Neurospora crassa OR74A: one gene and its partners. The protein of the gene in region 3 binds, or shares a complex with, the protein of the main gene of each other region. Links are inferred from orthologs where the notes say so. Each region holds a gene or a part of one and is shown on either strand. Other genes may lie near its edges. The genes, in order: NCU02757, NCU06768, NCU07560, NCU04336, NCU06469, NCU17114 and NCU08552.

Region 1 (4,504 bases), on a different chromosome or scaffold from region 3:
CTTGTTGGGCTCTTTGTTGGATAACGCACGGCGGGCAGTAGTCGCAGTACGGCTCGTAGCAGTTGTGGTCTTCTTCTGGATGCCACTCGGCTGGGCCGCCTTCGAAACTAGGCCGGGCTTCGCAATCGCTTTCTTCGTTCCCGCAACTTCAACCTTGGTGACATTGCTGACGTCGCCCAGTGCATTCCGCTTACCGACAGTGCGAGCGGCAGTGGCGGCGGTGGTTGTCGAAATCGTCGTCTTTTTGGTCTGCATGGTTTTCGCGGGCATGGACAATTCGTCGACATGGAGAGTGGCCGCCTTGGCCCTCGTCATACGTGTCGTGGTTGCTGTACTGTTCTCGTCATTTTCGTTCGCGAGTGAACGCGGGTTCCTCGTCCGCTGCAGGGTTGGGGTTGAGTTAGTACAAACATAGCATGGCTGTGGACAACCAATTGCATGATTGAACGACAATGCCAACTGTGCAGTAAAACTTACAAGATTCGGCATTCTCGCCTAAACCTATGCTGGCACAGAAATTGATGTGAAATGTGTCTACTGACGGGGAGGTCAGCTAGCTATTTGGATGTTTCGTTTTTGGCGAAGTTCGAGGTGGAGAGACTGGTTCTTATTGAAAGACCGATCCCTGTCACGGAGGGAGGGTTGACGCGAACGACGAGCGAACGACGAGGGAATTGTGAACACGGACAGTCAATGAGACTAGACGCACCGACTACAGAGCCCAAAGATGTCGGGAAGAATGAACACCGGCGGTCGGCAGTGATGTCGCTGTCGGCACGTTGTTGAAGCCGGAGATCAACCCTGGGTCCCGCAACAGAAGGTTGGCTGAGACCGTGAAGGATGTGCTGTTGTTGATCGGGAATGTTGCCCAATTGGTGACGACGGTCGGGGCAAAGCACGCAATGGCGACGTCCGGAAAGATTGACTGATCGAGGCCAAGGGTTGCCGTCGTGATGGCAAGGCCTTGCGAGTCCAGGTGATGCGGAGTGGGAATGCTAGTTGGCGGACGGGAAAGGGAGGTATGATGTTTACGAGGCAGAGAAGAATGGGAGTCTTGTTTTTGCGAGGTCTTGGTGGAGGTGCCAGTGCCAGTGCAGCCCAGTGGATGGGGCTGGAGTGCCAGTGGACGGAGCGGGCGTGTGGACACCCACCCAGGTACCGGATCGGACGTGCTGGGACTGGGGCAAAGTACCTCTAGTGCCCTTCGAGGTCACTAGTGCAGCGAGGCTTTGAAGCTTTGAAGTCCAAGACACCGGAAAGGGAACAAAATTACCACAACAAGTGATGACGCGCCGTGCAATATGGGCTTCTGTCAGACGCACGTCTTGCTGTTCCCTGCCTTGCTAAGTTGTCGAATGATGAGGATGCCGTTGTCGAATAAGCAAGTCGAAAAGGTTGTACTGCCGAAGAAATGCAGGCTTCAATGGCCGGAGTCGAAAGTTGCTGTTGTTGCTGTAGCTGAAAGTCGATTGTCGTGCGTCCAGGGAAATGGTTGTTAGTCGGATGGTGAGTGTCGAGTTGCAGAATCCGGAGTCGAGAAAGCGGCCAGGAAATTGTACTTGGGCCGGGCGCTGTTATGGAGCACTGCAAGCAGAAGGGACAAAGAAGGGTCGCACCTCAAACACGCAGTGAAGGAACTGAAGGCGGCAAGGCCACCACAGGCCACGTCCCTCCCTTGCTGTCATCCGCCCGCCGTCAGGGCAACACTGGCAACCGCAGGGCAATTCGGTCAAATCAGCTTCTGATTGGTTTAAACTGTCCAACAGGCTGCGCGTGTCCAGCAGCTGTCAACACTAAGGTACCTTACCTATCCTGGGTCAGACGCGACTGGAACCTTGGGCGGGCAGGAATGGAGCACGATGCACGCTCTTTCCCCGCGCCGCACTGCACCTTCACGCGGTGATGACTTGGTGCCTTCCTCCCGCGCCCGCGTTTTGGAGCGCTGTTTGCAGCACTTGTCCCCTGGAAAGAAACAAGGCTCTTCACCAAAGGGCAGTGGCTGCACCACACAAGCCACACTATTAGCAGCCACAATCGTCAGGGATCGCAAACCAATGCACGGCTGTGATTGGCGCATCAGCCGAGCAATTTTCCACAAGCAGTTATCGACGACAAGCCGGCGACGAGAACCTCGACGAGCAGCCTGCGAGGACGTCGCATTCCGGTTGCTGGAAATCGCAGCAACTGTCCCCTCCAGCACCCTCACCTCCCCAGAGCTCACCGCCAGGAGCTTGGGATATCCGACAGCGATCGAGCAGCCATGCTGCAGCCTCAATTCCGACCCCTCCTTGCGGGGACAGCTTCCTTTGCCCAAACCGTGCTGGGCCGCACCGTCGCCAGATGCTATGCCACCAAGGCCGCCACACAATCAGCAAGCAGCACCAGCACCAGCAACACCAGCAAAGATGCCAAAGCCAAGATCGTCACTCCCTACGTCCGGGACGCCGGCATGATGAGAACCTACAAGCCGCACACGCCCGGTATCCGTCACTTGAAGCGCCCGATCAACGACCACCTGTGGAAGGGCCGGCCGTATCTTCCTCTTACCTTTCCCAAGAAGGGTCAATCTAAGGGTGGCCGTAATCACAGTGGTCGCGTCACCGTCAGACATCGCGGTGGTGGTCACAAGCGAAGAATCCGCATGGTCGACTTTGAACGATGGATCCCCGGTCCGCACACAGTCCTGCGCATTGAGTACGATCCCGGTCGCAGCGCGCACATTGCGCTGGTGAAGGAAGAGGCCACAGGGAGGAAGAGCTATATTGTTGCGGCGGATGGTATGAGGGCTGGAGACGTTGTGCAGAGCTACCGGTCCGGTCTTCCCCAGGACCTGCTCGATTCTATGGGTGGTGTCGTTGATCCTGGTATTCTGGCTGCGAGGACATGCTGGAGAGGCAACTGCTTGCCTGTGTCCATGATTCCGGTTGGAACCCAGATCTATTGCGTTGGCTCCCGTCCGGATGGCAAGGCTGTTTTCTGCCGCAGTGCCGGAACATATGCAACCATTATTTCCAAAGAGGAGGAGACCCGTGAGGATGGTACAAAGGTTATGACGGGCAAGTTCGTCAACGTAAGACTGCAGAGCGGAGAAATCAGAAGGGTCAGCAAGGACGCTTGCGCCACCGTTGGTATTGCCAGCAACATTATGCATCACTACAGACAACTGGGCAAGGCCGGTAGAAGCCGTTGGCTCAACATTAGGCCTACTGTGAGAGGTTTGGCGATGAACGCAAGTGAGTAGACTCCCAGAACAATCCGTTTGTCAAGCGAGCAAAACCAACTAACGGCCTGGTAGATGACCATCCTCACGGTGGTGGTCGTGGTAAGTCGAAGGGTAATAGGCACCCTGTTTCTCCTTGGGGTACACCTGTAAGTCATGCCCCTTTATTTCCTTCCTTCCTCTGAACAGACGCCTTACCCTCTTTTTCTGTAGGCCAAAGGTGGTTACAAGACTCGCAGAAAGTCCAACGTCAACAAGTGGGTGGTTACCCCCCGGGTCCGCAACATGGGAGTCCGGAGGAACAAGAAGACTACATGAATAAAATAACCCACTGTGCTCAACTTGGGCTATATACCCACCATCTTGTACAATATGTAGTGAAACTTATTCATTTGCTCGCAGGCCGGCAGTTCGAGGGCTCAGTATATCACCGGAAGGATGCCATGTGTGGGTATTGGGCCCAATAACATCGTCTGTTGGAGATCTGCCGTGTTTGTCTTTGTTTTCCACTTTCAACTGAGCAACTCTACGGCGATGTGGTTCAGGGCCCGGCCAAGGCCGTGACTGTGCCTATAAATCGGCATACGACTTCAGGAATGTACCAAAGACTACACATGGGGTTTGTTAGACTCCGTTGTCATATACCGACCCCAACTTAACAAATTTTTTATTGATTTATTTACTTATAAAATTTGTTTAATTTTCCTAAAAAAATTAAAAAATTTTTTTTTCCCTTTTTTTTTTTTTTTTTTTTTTTTTTTTTTTTTTTTTTTTTTTTTTTTTTGCGTTGATTATAGACAACAGACTACAATGAAAGAAACTGAAGGCGTTTGGTCATTGGAGTCGGTCGAGTTGTCCAATCACATTTTGCGTTCATCTCTTCTGCAAGGAGCAGAATAACAATGCCGTCCCCCTTCGCCCTTTCAGATCTGCTACCGGTTCTGTGAACGCCATCCTGAAAAAAAAAAAAAAATAGGGGCGTAAATAGCCGCGTGGGTAGACCTGAGCGCAGCGAGATTTATATGCATTCCAGCGGTGGTATCTTTACAGTGGTTGACTGTGTAAGGGCATATCACGACAGCGTCTCGGTATGCGCCCGCAATTCGGCCATACATACAACGCCATGAAGGAACGAGGGTCGACAAAAGGCAAGCATAGTCTCATCTCCATAGAGGTATACCACAAGATCAACGGGGGTGATGAGTACACTATTTGAAGCGTCTCTTCGGTGGTTTGGGCAGAGTTTAAGGTTTACGCCATTCTTTTAGTGTACATACTATTTCA
Region 2 (3,866 bases), on a different chromosome or scaffold from region 3:
ACAACTCCTTGAGGGTAGCAACAATTCGCGTCTTCTTTCCTGCGCCGGAAGGACCGTAGACGAGGAGGTGGGGAAAGTCACCGCTTTGCGCCTAGGAGTGTCATCAGCGGGGAGCTTCTTTTGCACGAGGGGAACAAGAGGGTCTACTTACAAGTGACCGTAACCTCTCCGACAATTCGGTATGATAGGTGAGGGCATCGAGAGACCTCGGCCTGTGCTTGTCAACAATAAGCGCCATCGTGGTGTGGTGATATTGTGGAGAGGAAAATGGGTTGACAACGGAAGGGGAAAGAAATGCTGGATTGGAGGTGCATGGGAGACGCGTCGAGTTGACGCGCCGTCCAGAAAATCAATTAACAGATGACGGGGGATGGCCGCACGGACCATATCACCCGCTTATACAGGCCCTGGGGTAGACAGTTGCCCACTTTCGCCATCAGTATTCTAGGCAGCTATCTTGAATCTCTTTGAGTTTTGCAACGTCCGATGCTGGATATTGGATCTTCCATGAACCGACATCTAGTATAGGGCCCATTTCATGGCATGGTTGAAAGGGTATATCTAGGAAGCCAGCATTGCTTGTTGACTCGATGTGGTGCTCTGGCCCATCCAGGTAAACTGGTAGTAGCTTACGGACACATTCTCAGAGCATTGAAATCAAAGTGGTGATGCTTGTTACGTCGTCATAATAATCATGAAATGGCCATGGCAACACTCTTTTGCACATTGGCCCTTCTGTTGTTCTACATAGTGTTACAATTAGAATAGGCTCAGGGTTCTCCACCTCTACGAAGGAGGAGCAGCAGTGCTTGATGTGCTCGCAGCACTCTGGGTAATCTCTGGCATCAACAACTTCTTCCTTGGGTTCTTGAGGTCCTCCACCGTGAGGCCATCCTCCAACTTGGTGATGCCAACCACTGGTGGGTCACCCTTCTTCACAAACTCGTACAGACCTATGACTTGTCAGTTTTCTACTCTTCTCAACCTCGCAAAGATTTTGGGCCAGCATGTGCTGTTATTACCTGGAAGCTTGTGTCCGGCCAAACGGAAGGCATCACGGATGACCTGTTCGTGCAATTGCCCCCTGATCTCGAAGATAATCTGGTTGACGGCAACTCTGGTCGCCCAGTGGTCGAACGAACCCTTACCCTTACCCATACGCATCTACACCGGAAATGCATGTGAGCCTCATGTCCGCTAACAGTCGGCATCCGGCCTTCCCGGGCTGTGGGTTGTTCAGCTGCTCACCTCGTTACCGCTGACGTACACACCGACGTTACAAGCAACGCGCTTGTACAGGCGGTACTTCTGACCACGCAACCTCTGCTTGATGGTGTCCTCGGCGAGCTTGAGCTGTTGGGCGCTAATTCTGCGGTGGTGATCGCGCATGCGCAGGCCGTAATCTCCCCAAACCACTGTTGTTCCTTTGGTCGAACCACCCGTCGGCACTCTGGGCCTTCCCTTCATCATCTTCTTCTTTCTGTTGAGGTTGGGCTCGAGCCACGAACCAGCCTGGATGGCGGTCGCAGAGAATAGGCGGACATGGGAGGCGACGGAAACGGGGGTCGGCGCAATGGGGCGACGGACGGCAGAGGTTGCGAGCGACGCGGCACGGAAGGGAGTCGCCGACGAGGATATCCTAAGGCCCTGGAAGGCGCTGAGGAGCGCCGAGGAAGCGTTGTGCTTCATTGTGTTGAAGGTTTGGGTGTGGACCGGACCGGGGAGGGGACGAGTGGTGGACGGAGGACGGAGGGAGGGTCCAATTGGATGCCGGTCGCCGACGACGATTGATACGGATTCCCCGAAGCAGCGCGCGCACAGAGACGGGGACCGGGCAGAGCGACTACCTGCAATGGAAGGTGCTGCGGGCGCGGACGGGGCACGGACGGCACTTCCAAAAATTGTGACCCACCAAAAAGTGTCGGGTGCCGGCCGCGACATGGAATCTGCCGGACACAGCAGACAAGCGGGACCTGGGACTCATTCATTGACTCCTCACAAGAAATACAGCTGCGTGGGCGTAGCTCAAGGCAGCAAGTTGGCGAATTCTTGTAGGACAAGGCCCCACCAGTCGCGACAGGGGAGCAGAGCCCGGACACAGACTCGCGTCATCCACTTCACCTTCGCGTCTCACTCATCATTCAATTGTTACTTCCGTCTTTACAAGGGACAAGAGTCGACCCGTTAGCTCTTTACCCTTCTAGGCCTTTTGTTCAACAACACTTGTTAGGCAGAAGGACAGCTGCCTGGACAACTCAGACACCAAGAACAAAAGTCCCTACTTCCCAACTCCGCCACTATAAGAAGATGCTTGCTGGTGTCATCTGATTGTTACATCTTCCCAACCTTTTGACACATTCAATTTATCATTTTGTATCCAGTGATTTCTTCTCACATACTCCATCATGCCTGCCGACATTCGCTCGTTTTTTGGTCCAAAAGGTGGCGCGCCGCCTGCTAAGCCGGCAACACCAGCACCCAAGAAGGAAGAGGAGAAGAAGACCCGGGGTAGTAAGCTTGAACCATGATCGCCATCACAAGCTTATCACGTTATATTAACAATCTTGTCGCAGGGCCAAGAAAGGTTGTTGAGGACAGCGAAGATGACGAGGTTGTTGAGTAAGCTTAGTGAAAAGCATCTCTTCTCAGAACTAGCATCTAACCAGCATGTGTAGAGTCAAAAAGCCAACCAAGGCTGCGCCAAAGAAGAAAGTAGCGTAAGTGTTTATGAAACACCTCTCAGTTCCATGTCATCCTATTCCTGCTGACAGACTATCTAGGGAACCCGTAAAAGGAGTTGAAACCGATGCTGCCAAGTACTTTGCAACCTCAAAAACAAAAACTGCTGCTGCGTCCCAGTCAACACCGAAAAAGACACCCGCAAAACCCGAGCCAGAAGAACCAAAAGTAGCGCTTCGAACAAGCCCGCGGAAGAAAGCCACCCCCGCTGCCAAAGCACCAGAGCCTCCCAAGACTACTACAAAGAAGACCTCGACTACGAAGAAACCCACGACGGCCTACAAGAGTTACGACAAGGATGACGATGGCGATGCCTACATGGATGATGAGCACGATGCTGGAGAGGACATATTTGCGGCGGAATTCAAGGGTGGCAGCAAGAGGAAAAAGGACGACGACTATGCCGAGGAGGACAGTGACGAGGAGCTCCTCCCCAAGCCCAAGCGAATGGCATCTCGCGCCAAAACAGCAGCCGTAGCCGAGTCTGACGACGAAGACGTCAAGCCTGGACCCAGCAAGCCGAACAAGAAATCTACAACTACTACGGCAGGGAAGCGGAAATCCTCGGTTGTTATAAGTGACGAGGAAGACGAAGAGGAAGAAGAAGTCAAGCCAGCGAAGAAGAAGGGAGCCCCCGCTAAGCCCCGTGCGCCAAGGGCAAAGAAGGATGCGGCGGTTGAAGAACCCGAGGACGTCAAGAAGATCCTCGACAATATTCCCACAATTGAAGCACCAGATGCTCCTCCCAAAGACCCCAACGTCAAGTTTGACTGGAAGACCAAGGCCGCCGGAGCTGGCAATGCGGGTCCACCCCCCATGGCGGGCACTGCCGACATTCCTGAAGGTGAAATTGATTGTCTGGCGGGTAAGACCTTTGTGTTCACCGGCCTGCTCAAGACTATCGCGCGTGAGGAAGCCCAAGCACTCGTCAAGCGCTATGGTGGCAAGGTCACAGGAGCGCCATCCAGCAAAACCGATTTCGTCGTTCTCGGCGACGATGCAGGACCCAGCAAGCTGAGGAAGATCAAAGAGCATGGGATCAAGACCATTGATGAGGAGGGCTTGTTTTACCTCATCAGGACGATGCCCGCCGGTGGTGGCACCGGAAAGGGGGCGGAGAAGGCCAA
Region 3 (4,628 bases):
CTCGTTCCACGGGCACAAGCCTTCAATTGAGTTCATCTCTGCCGCAGAGGAAGAGGGAGGACCCGGGGTCACACCAGTACGAGGATTCGAATACCAGAACAAGATGGCTGAAGAACACGGTCTTTACGGCTGGTATTCCAACCTCGCATTCCTCAAGGTTGCAGCTAAGAAGCTGCAGAAGGAGCAGTGGCTGAGCAAGACTCGGCCCGAGAAGACGTGCGGGAGCATGAGAATGAAGACGGTAAAACCAAGCAAGCTTTTCTTCACGCTCAATCCCTTTGCGCCCAACAGCATTATCAGTCGTCGGTCAAGTATTTGTTCTTCTGTCGCTTCTGGTATGACTGGAAGCATGGTTGACACCCCGCCCAGTGTTTTCGGTGACGGCAGTGATGAGGAGGAGGAGGAGGAGGAAGAGAAGCAGGAGGCACCTGAGGTTCATCGTCTCCCCCCGTGGGAGGCAGTTTTCTGGGAAAAGTTTGGAAACAAATTGGTCCTTGACCACGGTGAAGTTTTGGCGCTCACCACTTCGATTCCGCTCAGAAAGTCCCGGATTCGGAATCTCTAGGATGATCATCGGGACCTCCTGTATGAGCTCCTTTTTGTGTGGGCTTTGGGCACGATTTGTGTGTTATTCAGATTGCTTTTCAGATGGGTGGAGATTTGAGACTTGACTTGTGTGTGGTGTGGTAATGCCAACAAGTAATTTGTTAATGATGTACGAGGAATGGAGGAGTACACCACTGGTACGCGCGCGAGAAGTGTCCCAGCTAGAGGTGTAAGCCAACGGCCTTATATGGATGATCAAGGAGGATGTCCTGATGGAGGCGTAGGAGACGTGTGAAGATATCCTACAGGCCGCCGTGGTGTGGACTTTCAACCAGCTCAAAAGTACCGTTGCTTTGGTCTGCGGCTGGCACAAGCTTTGACTGTGTGTCTCAAGCCGGGAGAACCGGTGTTCATCATTGATCAAGGCTGGATCTTGAAGAGGTCACTGCCATACCTATCCACGTCTCTAATGCAGAATCGGGTCACAGATATGTGATTAGCTCAGTCTGTCTTGTTTGTGTATGTTAGTATCAGACTTCACCTCAGATAGCGGTATGACCAACCCAGCGGATGTCTGGTAGTATTCACCAACCATCTCGCATCCTGTATGACATCTTCATCCCAAATCTCTATACACAGCATATGTTTTTACATTACAAACAACACCCTCTCTCGTCCCTGTGCTTCATGTCAGCCTTCGCCCGCTTCTTGCAGACATGGCATGCGAGCTTGGCTTCGGCCTGGTCAAGTACGCTGAGGCGTGCGAGGCCTTTGAACTGTCAAGTCAAGTTCCAAACCATCTCTGATTCTCTTCCTCGAGACCTTTGATTGTGTTCGGCTAGGGGGCGGTCCAGGTCTACTCAGCGCATAAACAACAATTGTACCTTGCCACCGACCGACTAAAACCATCTTTTGATATCAATACATTTGTACACATGCTTCTCTCTTCTTCTTCTTCCGCCACCCACTGCACTTCCCCATTCTATTTCCCCGGAAGATAATGGTGTAGTCTCACCGACTTCGACCATCGACTCATCATCACCTCTCCAACCTTGTTCTTCCATACTTCACTTCACCAGACCAGGCTACATAGGGTGTTGTTGTGTTGTGTTGTTCACCTCTCAGCAAACATGCCCTTGACGCTGTGGAAGTACTCCTCCGCCAACGTGCTGCGCAGCTCCTCCTGCGTGAGCCACTTGAAGTCGACCAGATCATGCAGGTTGTCGGTCAGGTCGGCCTGGCCGGCCATGATGCGGCCCTTGAGGAAGAAGATCTTCTCGCCCTTCTTGAGCAGGGCGCCGTCCTTCTGGCCGAAGACGGGGCGGACGACGTGGTGGGCTACGGGCACGCGGCCGACGATCCACGTGTTCATGTTGACGCCTGCGGACTCGGCGAGGATGCGGGCTGCGGTCTGTTTATCGTCATCATCAAAGGTTAGTTGGCCGCGAGTTTTGGAAAATGGTTGGAAGTTGGGTTGGGGAAAAAGGGAATATAACGAACCTCATGCAACCCCTCATCCGTAGGCACCACGCCCGTAGGGAACATCCACTTGGCCTCCTCGCCTTCCTTGTCCGCCTTCTTTTTGACTACCAGATAAAGCGTCTTGTCCAGCGCGCGATCCAACCGCTTGACATCCCCTTTCTCATCCGCCTCCGTCCGTCTCGGCATCGGCTTCTCGACGGGGACCCGGTCCTCGGCGGGGATCTCCTCGCCATCCTCCGACACGCGCATCTCCGCGTCGGCAAGCAATTTCTCCACCATGTGCTTTCTCGACGACGTCTGCGACCCCACCAGCACCTCGTCGTTCCACGCCATCCGGCCGCGCGGGTTGTACCGACCAATGTCCTTGGCGGGCACGCCGTGGCGCTCCTTCAGCTTGATGCGCCAGTCCAGGTCGGCGGCCGTGTCCTTCTTGAAGTAAAAGTCCTTGCGGAAGGGGGCCGTCAGCCGCTCGTTGAGGCGCTTCTGGTAAAAGTAAAAGGATTCTTCAAAGGGGGTGAGGTCGCGCGTCAGCAGCGGGGGGCGGGTCAGGATCACGCCCGACTTGATGCGGTAGATTTGCGACGAGGTCGAGGTGGCGGCGTGGGTGCCTGTTGATGTGGTGACGGGCGGGTGAGGAGGGGGTAGTGTTGTTGTGGTCGTGGCAGTGGCAGTGGCAGTGGCAGTGGCAGAGGCCTCGGCGGAGTAGAAACGTCTAGGTGCGCTGGTGACGCCGGCGGGCGCAAGTACTCGGGTTTGGTTGCGGCATTGTAGGCAGATGGACCGTTGTTGGCCTGGAAGGAAGAGAAAGAACAGATTGCGACGGGTTAGTTATGGTGTCTTTAAGCTTAAAGTTTGCGATCGGAAGCCATGCATGGAAAACACCAATTCGTAACGAGTTGACGATACGAAAAGAAGATAAAGAAAAAGTGGTCCATACTCCTAAGGAGAGCAGCTCCCCTACTCGACGCCGACATGATGGGCAGTATATATGACTTGGTTGTTGAACGGGGCCCGGGTGTGTAGACAACGGGACACGGGACGGGGAGAGGGAGGGAGGACGGGTGAATCTTGCGCGCGCGCCAATCCTCAACGCAACTCTCTCTCTCTCTCTCGCAAGTCTCGGGGTGGATGCGGGACGGGGTCGGTCGGTCGGTCGCTGCGGCGGGCGGGCGGGCGGGCAGGCAGGCAGGGCAGAGCGGACGGACGGGCGACACACAGCGCGGGAAACCGGCCGTGAACTTTTTCGATGTCCGCAGCCCCACTCTTTCCCTGGGGCCCTCCCGCCTGCCGCGCTGCCGCCGCGCACCGATCAGTCAGGTCCCCTCCCTGCTCGTTTCGTTCCTGGTCGCGATTGAACAATTGAGTCTTGGCAACCGATTTACTTTCCTTCACCGCCTTCCCTTTTCGAAAGCTTCCCTTTTTCTTCTCCAAAACCAATCCCCCCCGCTACCTACCCCACCATAACTTTCACGTCCTCAGTTAGGTTCACGGCTCCTACGACCCCACATGACCACTCACCTGACCGAAGCGGGTCCAGCAAACTTTTGAACTGAACTGCTGCAATAAAACTGCCACCAATCCCCCCTCCCCTTCTCTTCTTCCTTCTTCTTCTTCTTTTTTTTCTTTCTTCAAGGCACCATTCCTTATCATCACGACGTTTCTCTTCCTCCAAAACTGTCCTGATCATTTAGTCCGTGCCGAGAGGAACCACCATGAGCAGACGAATTCGCTAGCGGTACCTGCCTATAAACGCTCTACCGGGTTGCTGTTAGATAGAATCTGCTTACATATTTTTCTCCTGCGAACTCTCGTGACGGTTTTGCATTGTATGTATGTAATAATACTGCAGACTGTCTTGTGTGTGTGTGTGTGTGTTTGCTCTTTCTGAGAAATGAGCTTGGCCCAGTCAGTCTGGTCAGTCAGTCTCCTTCTCCATGGCATGTACACTACGTGTGAGGAGACTTCGCTAGATGAAAGTCAAGATGGGGCTGGTTTCTTTGAAAGTGTTATTCTTGCCACTTCGTGAAATGCTTCCCCGTCTCGAATTTCTCAAGCCTCGTTTTTGTGGCACGCGTCTTGTCTGGCTGCTTGGTGTCCTGTCGATTCATTCCTTGACTTTGGATATGAACCTTCCTGAGATCATTCATGGATCGTTCTCCATCCCCGACACTTGCTTGTCGTCACTCCGGTCAATGTCGCGATCAAGCACGGCCACATCTACTGAAGTCTCAGCTACGCCGCAATGCACATACTGCCCAGCTCAGAATATTCATTTCCACCATCCATGTCGCTGATCACGATATACATATGCGTGCTTCATCTCATAGAATTATCAGACCTGCCTCCTTGCTAGCGTTCGGACAAGCTTTCCAAATCTTTACTAGGCTACGTATCAGAATGGATGGACAAGTTAGTGGAATATCAAAAAAAGATGAACAAGAATAGAATGAGCAGTCATCACGTTATCAACCGACTTGTTCAGCACACCTTGCGCAATGCCGGAAACAGTGGACTACACTACATAGTCCAAGTTCCTTAACGATGACCAAAATGCAACAAAAAAAAAAAAAAAAAAGTCATGTCTGTTCATTGAAAAGATC
Region 4 (3,695 bases), on a different chromosome or scaffold from region 3:
TTGCAGCGCCTCCCCCTCTAAAACGCCAATGACCAGCTGCATTGACGCAGTCGTAATTCCTGCCAGGACATCCATTCCATCACATCTCTGTTTCCGCCGCCCCGTGTTGTTCCTCAAACACTGGGCAGTTCACCCAATGACTCGAGTGAACACCTCAGCCGGTTGTGCCTTGCGTCCTTGGCTGTCATCCTCGTTGCCCTGCGTTTCAACTGAACAACAGAGAGTCAAGTATGAATCCCGCAGCAGCCCCGACCACCGTCAAAGCGGCCTTTTAGAGCGCCGCCGTGTCCGAAAGACCGAGGCACCGCAAAGGCATGGATGACAAGTCTAGGTGGTGTTGGTGGTCAGCTTTGTCTCCAGTGACTGTCCTGATGTCACCCAACCTTTTTTTTCGATGGACTGCCAACGGATATGGTAAACAGCTTTCTATGTCGATCTCTACCGCCGAAAACCAGGTCCTTATCGCTCGGTTCGGTGTAACCCATGTCGATACCCCGCCATGCTGCGGGAGGTAATTGCCCGAATGGTTCTAGAAGCCATTGAATGTAATTGCAATCGTTGCACACGTGTAGGATATTAAACAATCATCCATTTCATCTCGTTAGTATTGAAAGCATGAGATGAACACCATGGCGACATGATACCGGGGCTTCGCCTGAGTGGTAAGAAGTGGGCTGGTGGATAAGCACTTGGGCGAAGCGGATGTTTGTTTACAAAACCCCTTTTTATATATGTGTGTGATTTGTCTTGCAGTCAGCTTAGCCAAAAGCATTATAAACACATCTCACCTACATTCAGGTAAGCATAATACCCGTTGGGCGGTCTACCTTGGTGACCGCCAACCTTAAAACTTAATCCTACAGAGACAGATCCTCGTCATACGCCTGCGTGTTCCACAAACACAAGCTATGTGAGCCAAGGTTGACGAAGCTGGAGTACGTTGAGGCAATGCAAACGCAAACCGGCAAATGCCCATATATGCCATGCCTGCCATCAGCACCCTTTTGTGGAAGCCTTTCCCAAACGATCATACTCCGTGGACCAACCAACAGCTCCAGGCACCGCTGTGCATTTTGAGATTTTGCCATACAATAATGATACAAGCAAAGATACACAGAGCCACAAGCTATGGCTATAGTCCGCATCCAATATTGGTAACAATGCCGTGGTCTATCCACCTAAAAGAAACAACCGTAACGCCTTCGTGCCCCCAAGCCCGTATAATGTCTTTCAGCGTATAGCCTCTTTCAGGGGATAACGTTGATACCGATCGACCTGGCCTGGTAGATGACCGCCCTGCAGAGGCCCTCGAGGGGCAGGCCGGATAGACGGAGCTCGGACTGCTTGATCTTGGCAATCTCGTAGACATGTTTGAGGCTGACGGTGCCGACAACCTCCTTGCCGGGGTTGCTGGCGCCCTTTCTCTTGCCGCCCTTGCCTATCGGGGCCTCGGCGGCGTTGAGCAGAAGCCATGATGTGTGAGGGGTGCGGACATCGAAGTGGAACGAGCGGTCGGGCCTGACGGTAACACGGACGGGCATAGGGGTACCGGTGTTGATATGGGCGGTTCTGGCGTTGAACTCCTATACAGATTTGAGCGCATGTCAGCTTGTGTTGTGGATATTATATGGGTGGGCGCATGCAAACCGACCTTGCAAAAGTCCATGGACTTGATGCCCTTGGAACCAAGGGCCGGACCGACCGGGGGACTCGGGCTGGCCTGACCGGCGCCGACAATGAGCTTCACCACCTGCTCAACACCACCAGCACCACCTTTTGCGGCCTTGGACATTCTGGCGACTCTACTGCAGATACCCTCGAGGGAAATTAAGTTGGGAGGAGAACGGAACGGTAATTCGGCGCGTCTGCAGTCGCGTGTTACACTTTCGAGGTCGGTCGGGTATCCTCGTTCGCGACGGCGGCAGCAACGGCGGCGGCGACGCCGCGCGCGGCACCTCAAGCTGGGCCCAAAAAAAAATCAGGGCGCCGGGCCGGCAACCGTTGCAGCCAGGGTCACGTCAGCCACTTCTTCAAAGCCTCAGCCACACACTATTTAGTGTAAAGTGCCGCAATCAGTCCCTTATCGCCGCTTTTCAGTGCCGTTAGTGGCTTACAGTAGTACTAGTACAGCATCGACGCCGAGCCCGCCCGTCAACTGAAAGTCCCGGCCTCGCTCGTCCCCAATTGCTCTCCTACCCGTACTACGCCCCCACTTTTTTGGACCTCGTAGAACTCGCACCCCCTAAAGTGGGTGCTCACGGGTACTACGGCCACACCAGTAAAACGGCCAGGTCAGGGTTAGAGGTGCAGTTTTGAGGCTCGATTCGTAGGGTAAAGCACAACTTCCCAACATATAGAAATTTCTGAAAAATGAAAAGCTGAACGGATACATTACTCTGTCCTGACTATCTTCTAACTCTTTCTTTATTCTCAATTAGTTGTTGAAATACGTTGTGGGCGTTCACTATTTTGGTATCGTTTATCTGATTCGCACCTCTAACCCTGGTGGCCGTTTTAGTGGTGTGGCCGTGTTATTCGTAAGCACCCACTTAGGTGGGTGCGAATTTGCGAGTCCCAAAAAAGTGGGGGCGTAGTACGGGTACCGGGCGTGACTTGGATTGATCATTCCCGTCATTGCCTGCCGCCTGCCCTGCCGCAAAGGTGCGTTCGAGCTGCTGCAAGTCTGCAAGGGAACACAGCATTGCGAAACCTGAACGCTCCAAGTGATTGCAGACCCGCTGTAGGAACCTGAAAGGGTCCAATCGATCGTCAAGTCCTCAGGTGATGTGGAGAGTTGGGCGGAACAGTGACGTGCACCTTCAAGAGCCAGTGAGTCTTCTTTGCTGCTCGACTGCCACGCATCGAGGGCCACGGCTAGAGGCAGTCGGCCGCGGGGAAGCCCAAAGGTACGTACTTGTAGGAGATTTGGGACAGACTGGGTTGCCCCTTCTGTTTTCCATTGGCTTTTATCTGAGCGCGGCGCCATCTCAGCTCTGCCCCATCTTTCTCGACGGCGGTGAATGACTTTAATCTTGAACATCAAACTACCTGGAAAATTCTCACAACTAGACTCATTTTCGCCTCGTTGTCTTGACTTTTTGCTTCTGTAATCTATACTCTTCCCATTTCGCCCTATACCCCCCCCCCCCAGTCTTTCATCATGTTCAAGTGGGCGCAAGCGGCGTGAGTACTCCAAGCACCACCCCCACCATCCGCTGGACGCAGACCTCTAACGACTCGCTTGTAGGTTGGCCAATGTCGCCGGCACCAAGGAGCCTATCTACGGCCCCGAGGCTATCAGGTCTGTCGCCGAGGAGGCCAAGACAACTCCCTATACCGAAACCACCAAGGATGACCTGAAGTGGCAGGCCATGGAGTCCACTTGCGTCGAGACGCAGTGCTTCTACTTCATGACGGACAGCGGCCAGCTCGCCTTTGCCCAGGTCATCTACTCTAACGTTGCGTAAGATTCCCCATTGCACGATTCGCCGTCAATGTGGCGCGCTCGCAAACTTGGGCCTTGTATTGACCTGATGGCACAACAGTGGCATCCGCACGACTTGCCAGTTTAACTGCAAGGTCTTCTCCCTGGATGGATCCAAGCCCCACCTCTGGTGCTCTACGCCCCTCAACAACCACGAGTTCAGCGAGGACAAGACCAGCTTCTACGCCACCGATTGCGCCGTCGAGCTTTC
Region 5 (3,914 bases), about 2.8 Mb from region 3:
TCGTGAGCGGCATAAGAGGCTGAGGGAGAACATCTGGGCGGTGCCGAGCGGAGACGAGCTGGATAGATTGCTGGAGGAGACGTCAGAGTTGGGGGATGACGACATGAGGGCGATATGGGAAGAGCAGGAGGAGTGGGAGAGGAGTTTGCAGGCGGGGATTGGAGGGATTGGAGGGAGTGGTGGTGCGGGGTGTGGGCATACTACCTCTACCAGTAACGGGGGTGAGAGGGATGATGGTATGAATGGGAATAACATGAAGGAAAAGCCAATGTCGATTAGTGGGGAGATTGCCGAGATGGCGAGGAGGAAGCAGCTGCAGCAGCTGGAAAAGGAGCAACAGGAGAAGCAAGATAAAGATGTGGAGATGACTTCGGGTTAGGAAACCGACGGAGGAGAAGAGAACCTGGGAATTCAAGACCAGTAGGAATGACACGGGTGGTGGATACAAGAGGCGCGCTGGTAGGAGTGCGATAGAAAGAAGAAAATTGAAGGAGGCAAGGAGAAGGAGGTTGAGAATAAGAAACAAGGAAGTTACCGATACATGGGGTATGCATGGGATGGCGTTTATGTTTTTGGCTGTTTAGTTATCTTCGGTATCCATAAGCGAAAGTGGGGAGATACTATTAACTCAGAAGCGGCATCTGCTCACGGTAATATCGTCGACAGACTCTCATGTTTTCGCTGACAACCCGTTCTTCTATCCATCCCAGTTCTCGTAGTATGATATAATGTTACATGTTTCATTGCTTTTTGTACACGTACAAGTGGTATATGTTGTTGTGAGGAATCTGTGTCCGCCACTCCCCCCCTTTCCCCATGAGGATATAATGTAGATGAGACCGAGAATCCCCCTTTATGTGTTTCCCAAGGCCCTGGCATTTCTTCCAACTCTGTCCCGTCATGATCATCATTATAGGAAAAAAAAAAGAAAATATCTTTCCGGCATCTGTGTCAGGAAAAGATCTCCTCGTTTGGTTCTTTTTCTGCGGGGGAGGGACGTGACCATCCTACAAAACAACAACACACATACACACACACACACACGGCGCCTCCACCCACCACACCACCACACAGAGACCATAACCATAGCAACCAACCCTTTTACTAGGCAGAAGCAGCAGTTTAGTCCATGGTGACGGTGGCGCCGAGCTCCTTCATGGCGGCGACAATCTTCTCGGCATCCTCCTTTGGTACCGACTCCTTCATGACCTTGGGCGCGCTCTCGACGAACTTCTTGGACTCTACTAGGGAGAGGCCGAGCAGGTTCTTGACCTCCTTGATGACCTTGGGCTTGGCGGCGGCGTCGAACTTCTCGAGCTTGAGCGTGAACAGCGTCTTCTCGGCAGCGGCAGGGGCGGCCTCCTCCTCCTCAGCGGGAGCGGCGGCGGGGGCAGCGGCGGGGGCGGCAGCGGCGAAACCACCGACGGGGAGATCGGGGATGTTGAGGCGGGACTGTTTTGTGTAAAAGAAGAGAGAGAGAGAGAGAGTGAGTGTTAGTGTTGGTGCCCATGTACATGTGTGCGACTTGAGAGTCTAGGTAGTATAAGATAGGTCTGTCTGTCTGTCTGTCTGTCCGGGGCCGGGCCGGGTCGGGTCGGGTCGGGTCCGGGGCGCAAAAACATCCGGAAACCTTGAAACATGCTCCGATTCGGGTTTTGTGTGTCCCGGTTCCCGGCCCCGGTTGTTCTTCTTCTCGTGCTTTATTTAAATCGGGCGTACCTTGAGGCTGGACACAAGCTCCGAGGTCTCGAGGAGAGTCAGGGTGCTGATCTGGTCAACAATGGCGGCGATCTTGGGGTTGGCGGCAGGGGCGGCGGTGGACTCGAAGCGCTTCTGGACGAGGAGGGAGCTCGAGGCCCGGGTGGATGCGCGGAGCTGGCGGGCGGCGCATTGCGCGGCGAAGCGAACCGAGAGAGACATTGTTGGTATGTGTGTGTGTTGGTGGTGGTGGGTTGTGTGGATGGATGGATGGAGAGAGGGGAGTCGGACTCGGACCGGAGGAAGGAAAGAGAGAGGGCGCGCGGGGGCGGTCGGATTGGGGTTCTCTTTTTTTGGTGAGGGAGGCTTGCCGTCGACGTCGACTTCGAGGATCGTACAACCGAACCGTACAACAACTAAACGGAGATATTTTTTTGGGGACGTTGTCGCGCGCTCCCGGGTGCTGCGAAATCTGGGACCCACTACTGGCAGTTGGCAGCTTGGTGGTTTGGGCGTGCAAGTTGGATCTATGACGGCTGGCTGACCCGGAGCTGCAGCTGGAGGGGAAAACCCAAGCTGCCTGCCCCGCGCGAGTCTGGGGATTAGGTACCTCTGTACCTTGAAGTCCACTGAAGACGCGCTAAAGGATGGGCCCCTGTCATCCCAAGCGCGCCCCTGCTGCCGCTGGGCTGTTCGTCCCACCCGGAACTAGGTTCCACTTTTGAAGAAGATGGCTCCCTTGCCTGCCGCAGCCGACTTACACTACACTATGTAGAGTACTATGCAGTACACCCCAGCACATGCGCCTAGCGCTAAGTAGCATGTACCCCGCACTATCGTTCAGCGCGATAAGGAATTTCATGTGGGAAAAAGTTCCAAACGGGAGAAAGCGAAGTTCAATGGGCAAAAAAGTTAGAGATAAAAAAAAAAAAGAGACTAAGAAAAACATCACCGTTTTTCACAACGACGACGACGACGACGACGACGACATCCACGCCAACCCGTCCCGTCGCTTTTCCCTGGCCATGATGGCCGTGATCGATGTGAGCCAGCAGAGGGCGTCGCTCCTTAGCGATGCGACCACCTTGGACCTCTTGCCGCCAGAGTTGCTGCTCATAATCCAGGATCACCAATCGACCAAATTCCTCGATGCGATCGCCAGCGCCGCTCTTGTCTCGACAGCCACCGACCGCATCTTTACCCATTTCGAGTCTGTTTTTGCCGATATTTGCGCCAGATGGATTCTGTCTTCTCCAAAACTCGATACGCGAGTCCTTGCCGCTTTCGCAAGGATCTTGCCCTTCGCCCCGTCGCTGTCCGTCTTCCTCGTGTCGCATCTTCGAGGAGGATCTTTTGGTGGTGTTAATGGTGGTAACCACAACGACAAAAGCAACGACAATGATGCTTCTTCAAAACTTAAACCTCTCGATTCCCTTGACCTAGCTTCGATCCGCCCAGATGACCTCCCAATTGTCCTCCTAGCCCTCTGGAGGCTCAACAACTTTGACAAGCGCACCTACGCCGGCCTGTCAAAGCCATCCCAAATACAGACCCTGTTCGCACACGAGAACCCCATCGTCCGATATCTTGCCGTCCGAATCTTCTGCCAGCTTCATAATGCCGCCGATGTCAAGATCGAAGCCCTCCTCGAAAAGCACATACCCAAAGATACCAGCCTTGTCGCAGAGCTCGACGGGCGCGAAGCCGACTATGCGTTCCTCAGCCTACACGAGGATTCTAGACGTGAAGACATTCAGAGCTCTCGCAGTAAATCCCAACAAACTAGTGCGGTTGACGATGCGGTTGTCGAATTGAATATCACAAACATCCCAGAACAGAACCTCACTCCTCTAGTTGTCAAATATGGAAAGACAGTCCTCCCGCGTCCCCTCGGCCCTGTGACTGCTCCCACCACCCTCGCACTTACCCCGACGACTGTTGAGAACCTCGAGAACCTCACCGGGTGCCTGCAACGACCCGGGCCTATCCTCCTCCACGGCCTGTCCGGTTCCGGCAAGACCTCCCTAGTCCACGAGATTGCGCGCGAGTTAGGCAAGCAGAAGCAACTAGTGACACTACACCTGAACGAGCAAACCGACGCCAAGATGCTGCTTGGGCTATACACCACCGACTCGAAACCCGGTTCCTTCTCGTGGCGCCCAGGTGTGTTGACCACTGCCGTCAAGGAGGGAAGATGGGTCTTGATTGAGGATCTC
Region 6 (3,858 bases), on a different chromosome or scaffold from region 3:
AAGTTACGTCCGGCCACTTTTCAGATGCCTCTGCTTCAGGAAGACCTAACAAGCGGAAACAACCTGATGATATCGTGGATTCTCCTGTAGTTCTTCGGCGCGGGAGATACTCGAAAGGGGCCGGGGGAAAGGGTACGACCAAAGACATTACTTCTACCCCAGCTTCAGCATCGCTTCCTAACGGCTCAGATGAACGTGGAACTCGCGGAATAGTACGACCACAACGGATTTACCGAAGCCGTCACGCCCTGGATAAGTTGAGCGAAGGCTCTGAGCCTTCTGAAAACGGATTGATTTCCATCAACTTCAAGCCTTCATTTGGCCTCCTACCCGAGGTCATGAACGGTGCCAACAGGTTTTTGCCACCCAGATCAGCACCGACTCGAACTTATGGCAGTAGAAGGTCCGTTGATCCTGCGGAAAACACCAACTCGGTCAGTCAAACGAACGGCGAGTCCCAATCACGGTCTCAGTCCCAGCCACTTTCGCGATACGGGGGCGCCAATGATGAGACCCAAGACTCCATGACCCTCTCGCAGAATGCAAACAAAGAAGACGGAGATGACTTGCCTCTGCCTCCGCCTGGGAATAAGTTATGATCCATATGTCGATGCATGGCGTATTTGTGTGGATTGGAGACTGTGTTTCGAATGAATTGAGATTCAATATGTATACGACGAGAAGAGTGTGAAAGAACGCCTGTAAAATGTTGGGAGACGGGTCTTGTGACTAATGAAAAGTTTGATTTCCACGAAAATATAGAAAGATGAGATAAAGCGATGTACGATGGCAAGAAAAGTCAAAGATGTCGAGGTGTCATGACAGACTGTCTGATCGCGATAGAAGAGTTATCCTTACCACACAACACAAGAGAAGGGAGAGCCACTTGGCAGTGAACCTGGGTCACGCCCAGCATTGCCGACGGCCGAGGGGCGTTGTGCTTATCTCTTGACTTGTACATTCTCTAATCAACCTGGCCCATCGGTAGAGCGAAGAAGCAACAAACGCTCCATGGTGCCAATCCATAACTCACAGGGTGATGTTATATACTGATGGATCGGTGGTACAGTAATAATACACGACCAGAGACTGGATGGAACGAGGGACCCCATCTTATTCTTGCGCCTCTCTTCTCCATATATCCAGTCCAGTTCCGGTCCGGTCCACCCCCCTCTCCAGCTCCAGCTCCAACTCACTCGCCAGCACTGGCCATTGTCTGCTGGTGATCTGCTTGAAACACAACCCGGTCGAAATCGTAACTTGGTGTGACGTGGTAATCCGTGGAGGGGGTGCTGTAGCTTTTTACTTGTCGCTGCTTCGCCGCTACGCTCTTTGATTCCGTATCGCAGGCTCCGCGTTCTCGCTCTGGCTCTCGGTCGTTCGACGGTCGTTAGGCCCGGGGGCGAGTAACGATCTATGACCTGCCCTTGCGTTTCTGTTCGAGGAAGAGGACCTTGCGGCGAACTATGGTGGAGAGGCGAAAGGGTTAGTAGGTATTCCTTCCTCTTCGAGATCCGTGATTGGGAAAAATTGTCTGTCGTAGGCAAGTGTTTCTTCCGTCCCCTCCTCTCTTCTCTGTTGGCCGGTTGGTTGGCTGGTTGCTTTTTTTTTTTTCTTTTCTCGAAGGTCCGTACGTTATGCCATCGTCCGAGTCTTTGAACTGTTGCGTCCCAGCCTGATCCCAGTCCTAGTCCCAGTCCCAAGCGAGCTTCCCAAGGTCCGTTCGACGAAGCGTATTGGGGTGTTTCGAATCGTGCAAATCGAGAAAGCCCGCAACCAAAAAGAGTTCCATATCATGCCCGTGTCGTCGTGTCCGCCGAATCAATCATGTAGGTGGTTGGAAGCGAAAGAGGTAGATAGGAATGAGGGGAGAGGATATGCGCATACCGATCGGATCGTATTTCAGCATGCTCATAGGCAGCGAGGTACGGGGACGGGTGAAGGTGTAGAAATAACCCGTCATGGCCATTGAGATCAGGCGCACGTTAATGATGCGGGACTTGGCTGTTTGTTGTTTACCTATCAGCAACTATCGTCTTCTGTTTTCGGTTTCCGGTTTCCCCATTGCATCGCTTTTCCCTTTAGGAAAACAAAGCAGTAATTGCAGACACACGGGTGAGGATGGAGTCGATTACCCTTCTTCGCCATGTTGAACGACTTTTGTTGCGCTGTTGTGGTGTGCAACGGCGCGCCTGGACTGGACTGGATCAAGTGCGGTACGGCGACGGGCGACGGGCTGGGGCTCGTCCGGACGGAGAGGTTCGCAAACTGCGGGCGGAGGGCGGGCGGATTCACGGAGCACGGTCTTTGCGCCGGAAGCTCTCCAATCGACGTCGGGTCGTCCGCGCTTCTTGCGATTGCGATTGTAGATTTTGCCTGCCGGCCCGCCGGGGGTGCGTGGGCCGTGGTGGGGCTGTGGGTGGGTCGTGTGCGCTCCTAGCTGGGCTTGGCAGGTGGCTGCCCGCGGTTTAGTGTACTTGTAGGATCGGTGAAGGCAAGGTGAGGAACAAGCTGAGTGTAGTGAGCTGAGAGCTCACCGAGGAACCCCAGAGGCCTTGGCCAAAACACAACGGGCGTGATATCTATCAGAACATCTCACACAAATTTATTGACAACATCAACACCTTTGCTGGGCTTGTACACTGAGAGAGATGTATTCAAGAACATAAATTTGATATTTGTGTACCGTAATTTCAACATGGTGACCGTTGACAGCACTGTGGCTGTAATCATGCCCGTCCCGCCAACAAGGCGCTGGAAGGGAACTGTGTAAGTCGACGAAAAGGATAGTTCCTGGATACTAGATATAGTCCACTGGTCCTACACATGCCGCAGCTACCTCTAGAGGTAGAATACAACGGCCCGGATTTAACGTTGGCTTGTCAGGCAGCACAGCACAGCAGCAGCTTATCTTGGCGGCTACGAAACAGCTCAGCGATACCGCCTCGTCTGGCGGATAGCAGTCCGAATCAGAATATGGCATTTGTTTGATTGACTCTCCATACTGTACCAAGACTGTAGTCTCGATTCGGACCTCTGCGACCCCGCCAGAAATGGATCGCGGGAGCAAAACCGGACCGGAACGAAGACTCTTTTGTAACAAAAAGTTCTAGACCACACCGCTTTCCGTGCTCCTGTTTCGGAGCTCATTAGTTCAGTTTGGGTTGCTACATTTGATGAAAAAAAGAAAAAAAAAAAAAAGTTCGTGTGTTCTTCTGCGTGCTATCTTTCCCCCCCCCCCCCCCCCCCCCCATTCATAGTGTCTTTGCGTCTGCTGTGTCGAATGCGGTTTGAAAACCCAACCCAACTGACATAAACTGGACTCAGCCCTAAATCACATCCCGTCCTCTCGGTACTCTCGGAGCGAGTCAGCGCACCATCAACGACAAGTTCTTCTCCCGTTCACCTTTGACGGCATCTCCGGGAGTCCTGTCCCCCCCCACCCGGCAGTATCGAGACCCTCCTCCCCTCATCCATCAATACGTACACTTCATCAGAAAGAGATCGACAATCGCATCGATGGCTGCCGGACTGTCAAACGCCCTCAAGACCGCCCGTCACCGGCTGCCGAGCGCGGCCGTGAGAAATTATTCAATCCCTGTTCAGCAGTCGGCGTGGGGTCCGGCGACATGCGGAGGTAAGGATCACCAAACCCTTGCCATTCGCCAAAGCGGCGCGAGTTTCTCGTCCGACCGACGCGGATCGATGTGCTTTATTGCGTCGCTTTCACCTTCCCGAACGTACCGTTGCTTCCTCTTGTCCCGAACTTCCCCAACTTTCTTTCCCCGCGTTTGCAACTCTCTCCGTTGCAACGGTCTTGGCACCTGCTTAAACCGCAGCTGTCCATCTGCCTTCACT
Region 7 (3,890 bases), about 590 kb from region 3:
CCCGGCAGCTTAGGACATGACCGGCAGACGACGCATCTCCCGCTCTCACGAGGTTACGACTTTTTGATTTTACGGTCACAGCGATTACGGTTACGGCATACCCATTACATCAGGATTATAATACATCTATAATCATGGCGGCGCGGTTGTTCGCCCACCTTCGGGATTACAGCACCCGACACACGACACGACTGGCACACAGCACGGCATAGCATAGCACAGCGCATACCCAAAAGTCTCCGTCCGTCTGGTGGCGGGGTCTGGTCCGCGAGGCGATGACCTGGATTTGGCTTGTTCTTGTCATTTGCTCTGGCTTGCATCGAGACTAATCTCTTCTTTTTCTTCTTTCGTTTGCTATCTAGCTCCCAAGAGCCATCAAGGAATGCCCTGCCTGCCACCACCCGGAAGCTGTCTTCTTCCAGTCACAGCAGCGTACTTCGGAAACCGGAATGGTAAGACTCACTCACCTGCCTGGGAGGGGCTCACCAGAGTCATGGGTTAACAACGTTACTTTCAGAAACTTTTCTACGTCTGCTGCGATTGTGGTAATATTTACCAGTAGTGGGGGATTCACTCTTCACTCGGAAGGAATAGGGCCAGATCGATCCTTGTTATAGGCGGACAGGCGGGCGGTCGGAAAAAATCACAGGTTGATTAATAAAGATCAGGGGGTCATGATGAGTTGCATTACAGTGGCGTTTGTACACGGTTAACTCAAAAGGACCGCGGTTTAGGGCGTTTGGTTTTCTTTTTCATGCTTTGGCAGGACACTGGTTTAGAAATGGTCTTTCCATGAATCTCGTGGATAACGTTATAAACTGTTTCGTGTGATATGCAATGGTGATGTTGTTTTGCTTGACATGACATGTAATGTACAGTAGTATACACAGATTAGGACGGCACGCTTGATGTCCCGAACTGAAGTGACTGGTAAACCTAATCGACTGATGTGACGGCTGCTGCTGGCTGATCGTTACCCAAAATGGCGCTTGAAGAAAGGCCGTTCGATGAGACCATATTTTGGTGTGATGTCCGGTGTGTGAAGCCGTCGTACCTTGAGAACAACGTCGCAGTCTCAAACCCGTATACGCCAGGCCATCCCAAGTCCATCCTGGAAATCCGTAGACACACAAACCACAGTTCCGTCAGATATCAACAAAGTGATGTTCCGTAGCGCTCATCGTCAGTCATTACCTCAACACAGCCAACCCAAGCTGAGCCGACACCCAAACCCCCCACGAGAGTCACCAAGTCACCGCAATGACACATCCCACCGAGCATACTCCTCTTCACTTCAAGGAGCGTCACGCCACATCCCACCCCAACAAACTCAACTCTTTTTCTTTACGGGTATTCATATTTCATTCCATCTTGATTCTCCCGCTACATCCATCGTACATATATCCTCCCTGATCGATCAATCAAGCCTAGCTAAGCCTGCATAGGCGCCATACTCAATATCTTGCTCCACTTTTTCTTTCGCAGTTCCTGGCCCACCACACCATTGATGCGCGATCCGATCGGGTCGCCGGCCTTGTTGATCAAGACACAGGCGTTGTCGTCGAACCGGACGACCGAACCGTCGCGGCGCTGGACTTTTTGCTTGGTGCGCACTACCACGGCGTGGCGGATGTCGCCGCGCTTCACCTTGGTGGCGGCCGAAGAGGCGGCCATGCCGGCCGAGTCGGCGCCGCGCTGTTTTTGGACGACTACTACTATGCGGTCGCCTTTCTTCTGTTAGTTGAGGTATGAGGAGGGGAAAGAAGGGGGGAAAGAAGGGGGAGGGGGACAAGAGGGGGGAAAGAAGGGGGAGGGAGGAACAAGAGGGGCAAGAGGCAAGTATGATATGTGTATAAGACCAGATGTTCCTTGGTCGGACGAGAAGAATCGGACGGGATGGGACGGGTATGAACGGCGACGACGGTGTTGGTGTTGGGGTACGAAAGAGGGATCGGGTAGTTCGTGTAGATATGATATGCTCGAGTCGACGATGGGTTCGTGGGTGTATAACGGAAATCGAAAGGGAATTCGAAAGCATACCAATCGAAGCATGCCTCTTTTGGCCGACAACCATGGCGCATTCCACCAGGGCAGCACCCGAGTTGTCGATGCAGTTGAGCATCGTCTGTTTGCAGTTCGCATGGTTCGTTAGCAACCAAACTCTTTTTGCTTTCGTTCGACAGCAAGGGAAGAAGAAAAAAAAACAAACCTTTAGTTGAATCATCTTGGGCAACCGGTTACTCTGTCCCTGTTACCGAGCGAGTAGTGGCTGAAGTTAGTTGGCTGTCGAGAGGACCGAAACCCGGCAACTGAATGGGGATTCCACGGTTGACGCCGCGTATCGATCGATTGATTGATTGATTGATGACCGGCCGGCCGGCTGCTGTCCGTCGTGCCCGCCGGACGCGGGGACCCCATCGAAAATTGTTTGCGGGACGGGGATGCCAGGTTAGAGGTACGTACCCTGCATTAGGTAAGCAGGCTCCTAAGTAACGCGAGAAAAGAGAGAAGAAGGGGACGCGCCAAAACTTGGACGAAGAGTGTGGAGCCAGTCGGGAGGGGTGTCTCATGCATGCTCTTTACATAGCTGCTTTTTTGACTACACTAACGCTTTCGGGAAGTAGCTGTAGTTGAAGCTCTGAAAGTGTGAGAGTCTGAGGCATCAGCAACAGAACATGTGAGGACTCAATGACCGTAGTTGATGTTAAGAAGAGTTTAACAATGAGCACATTTTATGAGAAGTCATTATTGGACAATGAACTGTTGAATCGTCTGTATTTGTCAAGGAAGATAATGAGTGCGGCCATTCTGGACACAATCAGACAGCTAGCCCGGGCATGTACCATCTCAAGTCAGCTTGCAAACAGCTTGTCATAGTATCTCTACCCGACGACTCCAGAGGCAAGTTAGACAGCGATATACATACAGTACCCATCTCTGAAAGCGTACCCCAGATGATCGTTGAGACTCAAGTCGTCCATTGCTAGCAACATCCCCATCTGGTTAGAAACATTCCATCAGCCCTGACCCAAACCACCAATGACAACCTCGGCGCAACCAAGCTCCAGCCAGGATGGTGTCTCCCACTCTCCCCCAAGTCCCCGCTCCCCCGTCGGCTGATTCTCCAATTGTGTCTTTCGGAATTTGGCTAGACCACCGCTACCACGGCAACAGGTGGGATCGTGAAAAGAGGAGTAAAGAGGCGAAGATTTGCAATGCCGGGCCCCCTTTTGTTTTGTTTCTGCTCGTCCCCTTTTTCCCTGTTCTCCAATCGATTTGAGCAGTTTTACCTTGAGCTTCAGCTTATTCTCACCTCAGCTTCACTGCCACCAAACGGTTTGTTGCTGTTCTTCCTGTTACAGCTCCAGGTAAAATAGCAAGGCCCTCAAACAAGGCTATTGCCTCATATCCCTGCAGCCAAAAGCAAGAAGCCCGCACCACCTTGCAGTTTCCTCGCACTTTCACACTTGAGTTCAGGAATTCATAGACAGACAACAAGTACAAGAATACATATGACGGCAACCCGCCTCGCCGGACCACTCCAACTCCATTTCCCCCCGAGTCCGACCAACCACCAACAAGACTCGGACCGCAAAAGGACCCTCACCCAAGCTTGACCTCCATCCCCAGTCATTCCCACTCAGCTCTTCAGCTTTCTCAAGGGTTCGGCCGCCCGCCCGCCCTTCTTTGCAACCTCATTCGCGACCACGTCCTTGTCCTCCCGTCAACCACCACCCACAACAACAACAAGTCTGTCCCTTTCGATCAAAGCTGCAGCTTCAGCTTGAATTTCAATACTTTGTGACCTTGGCTGTCACCACTACCACCACCACCATCACTTGACTGCGCCTGTCATTGTCAGCCACTGTCGAGTCGCATTGGCTGCACTT

What was found.
Region 1: NCU07560 (region 3) and NCU02757 share a complex: the UniProt entries of both Schizosaccharomyces pombe proteins name them as parts of the mitochondrial large ribosomal subunit. The link is inferred for Neurospora crassa OR74A from reciprocal best matches to the Schizosaccharomyces pombe genes mrpl17 and rml2.
Region 2: NCU07560 (region 3) and NCU06768 share a complex: the UniProt entries of both Schizosaccharomyces pombe proteins name them as parts of the mitochondrial large ribosomal subunit. The link is inferred for Neurospora crassa OR74A from reciprocal best matches to the Schizosaccharomyces pombe genes mrpl17 and mrpl16.
Region 4: NCU07560 (region 3) and NCU04336 share a complex: the UniProt entries of both Schizosaccharomyces pombe proteins name them as parts of the mitochondrial large ribosomal subunit. The link is inferred for Neurospora crassa OR74A from reciprocal best matches to the Schizosaccharomyces pombe genes mrpl17 and mrpl19.
Region 5: NCU07560 (region 3) and NCU06469 share a complex: the UniProt entries of both Schizosaccharomyces pombe proteins name them as parts of the mitochondrial large ribosomal subunit. The link is inferred for Neurospora crassa OR74A from reciprocal best matches to the Schizosaccharomyces pombe genes mrpl17 and mrpl12.
Region 6: NCU07560 (region 3) and NCU17114 share a complex: the UniProt entries of both Schizosaccharomyces pombe proteins name them as parts of the mitochondrial large ribosomal subunit. The link is inferred for Neurospora crassa OR74A from reciprocal best matches to the Schizosaccharomyces pombe genes mrpl17 and mrpl39.
Region 7: NCU07560 (region 3) and NCU08552 share a complex: the UniProt entries of both Schizosaccharomyces pombe proteins name them as parts of the mitochondrial large ribosomal subunit. The link is inferred for Neurospora crassa OR74A from reciprocal best matches to the Schizosaccharomyces pombe genes mrpl17 and mrpl38.

The regions. Positions count from the first base shown.
Region 1 is NC_026501.1:3,455,320-3,459,823, reverse strand, and holds NCU02757 (mitochondrial 54S ribosomal protein RML2), read left to right. Parts: upstream 1-1,876; 5' UTR 1,877-2,260; coding exon 2,261-3,233; intron 3,234-3,295; coding exon 3,296-3,369; intron 3,370-3,433; coding exon 3,434-3,538; 3' UTR 3,539-3,907; downstream 3,908-4,504. Other genes in the region: NCU02758 (G2/mitotic-specific cyclin-B), read right to left, coding at 1-381, 478-489. UniProt on the Schizosaccharomyces pombe protein: Component of the mitochondrial ribosome (mitoribosome), a dedicated translation machinery responsible for the synthesis of mitochondrial genome-encoded proteins, including at least some of the essential transmembrane subunits of the mitochondrial respiratory chain.
Region 2 is NC_026502.1:2,003,276-2,007,141, forward strand, and holds NCU06768 (mitochondrial 54S ribosomal protein YmL47), read right to left. Parts: upstream 1,926-3,866; 5' UTR 1,690-1,925; coding exon 1,249-1,689; intron 1,165-1,248; coding exon 1,023-1,164; intron 954-1,022; coding exon 787-953; 3' UTR 652-786; downstream 1-651. Other genes in the region: NCU06769 (activator 1 38 kDa subunit), read right to left, coding at 1-91, 152-238; NCU06767 (replication factor C subunit 1), read left to right, coding at 2,406-2,511, 2,574-2,619, 2,676-2,717, 2,781-3,866. UniProt on the Schizosaccharomyces pombe protein: Component of the mitochondrial ribosome (mitoribosome), a dedicated translation machinery responsible for the synthesis of mitochondrial genome-encoded proteins, including at least some of the essential transmembrane subunits of the mitochondrial respiratory chain.
Region 3 is NC_026503.1:4,356,747-4,361,374, reverse strand, and holds NCU07560 (50S ribosomal subunit L30), read right to left. Parts: upstream 3,350-4,628; 5' UTR 3,003-3,349; coding exon 2,966-3,002; intron 2,820-2,965; coding exon 2,047-2,819; intron 1,958-2,046; coding exon 1,661-1,957; 3' UTR 1,096-1,660; downstream 1-1,095. Other genes in the region: NCU07559 (hypothetical protein), read left to right, coding at 1-565; NCU16690 (hypothetical protein), read left to right, coding at 3,999-4,322. UniProt on the Schizosaccharomyces pombe protein: Component of the mitochondrial ribosome (mitoribosome), a dedicated translation machinery responsible for the synthesis of mitochondrial genome-encoded proteins, including at least some of the essential transmembrane subunits of the mitochondrial respiratory chain.
Region 4 is NC_026504.1:3,732,959-3,736,653, reverse strand, and holds NCU04336 (mitochondrial 54S ribosomal protein YmL19), read right to left. Parts: upstream 1,962-3,695; 5' UTR 1,793-1,961; coding exon 1,652-1,792; intron 1,584-1,651; coding exon 1,248-1,583; 3' UTR 713-1,247; downstream 1-712. Other genes in the region: NCU04337 (survival factor 1), read left to right, coding at 3,161-3,183, 3,248-3,463, 3,546-3,695. UniProt on the Schizosaccharomyces pombe protein: Component of the mitochondrial ribosome (mitoribosome), a dedicated translation machinery responsible for the synthesis of mitochondrial genome-encoded proteins, including at least some of the essential transmembrane subunits of the mitochondrial respiratory chain.
Region 5 is NC_026503.1:1,524,368-1,528,281, reverse strand, and holds NCU06469 (putative mitochondrial 54S ribosomal protein MNP1), read right to left. Parts: upstream 2,139-3,914; 5' UTR 1,921-2,138; coding exon 1,720-1,920; intron 1,453-1,719; coding exon 1,123-1,452; 3' UTR 589-1,122; downstream 1-588. Other genes in the region: NCU06470 (hypothetical protein), read left to right, coding at 1-379; NCU06468 (midasin), read left to right, coding at 2,724-3,914. UniProt on the Schizosaccharomyces pombe protein: Component of the mitochondrial ribosome (mitoribosome), a dedicated translation machinery responsible for the synthesis of mitochondrial genome-encoded proteins, including at least some of the essential transmembrane subunits of the mitochondrial respiratory chain.
Region 6 is NC_026506.1:2,292,474-2,296,331, reverse strand, and holds NCU17114 (hypothetical protein), read right to left. Parts: upstream 2,438-3,858; 5' UTR 2,149-2,437; coding exon 2,136-2,148; intron 2,005-2,135; coding exon 1,888-2,004; intron 1,465-1,887; coding exon 1,415-1,464; 3' UTR 909-1,414; downstream 1-908. Other genes in the region: NCU03974 (hypothetical protein), read left to right, coding at 1-599; ala (alanine aminotransferase), read left to right, coding at 3,520-3,637. UniProt on the Schizosaccharomyces pombe protein: Component of the mitochondrial ribosome (mitoribosome), a dedicated translation machinery responsible for the synthesis of mitochondrial genome-encoded proteins, including at least some of the essential transmembrane subunits of the mitochondrial respiratory chain.
Region 7 is NC_026503.1:4,951,022-4,954,911, forward strand, and holds NCU08552 (mitochondrial 54S ribosomal protein YmL38/YmL34), read right to left. Parts: upstream 2,522-3,890; 5' UTR 2,225-2,521; coding exon 2,210-2,224; intron 2,126-2,209; coding exon 2,041-2,125; intron 1,728-2,040; coding exon 1,432-1,727; 3' UTR 913-1,431; downstream 1-912. Other genes in the region: NCU08553 (DNA directed RNA polymerase II 15 kDa subunit), read left to right, coding at 363-452, 518-562. UniProt on the Schizosaccharomyces pombe protein: Component of the mitochondrial ribosome (mitoribosome), a dedicated translation machinery responsible for the synthesis of mitochondrial genome-encoded proteins, including at least some of the essential transmembrane subunits of the mitochondrial respiratory chain.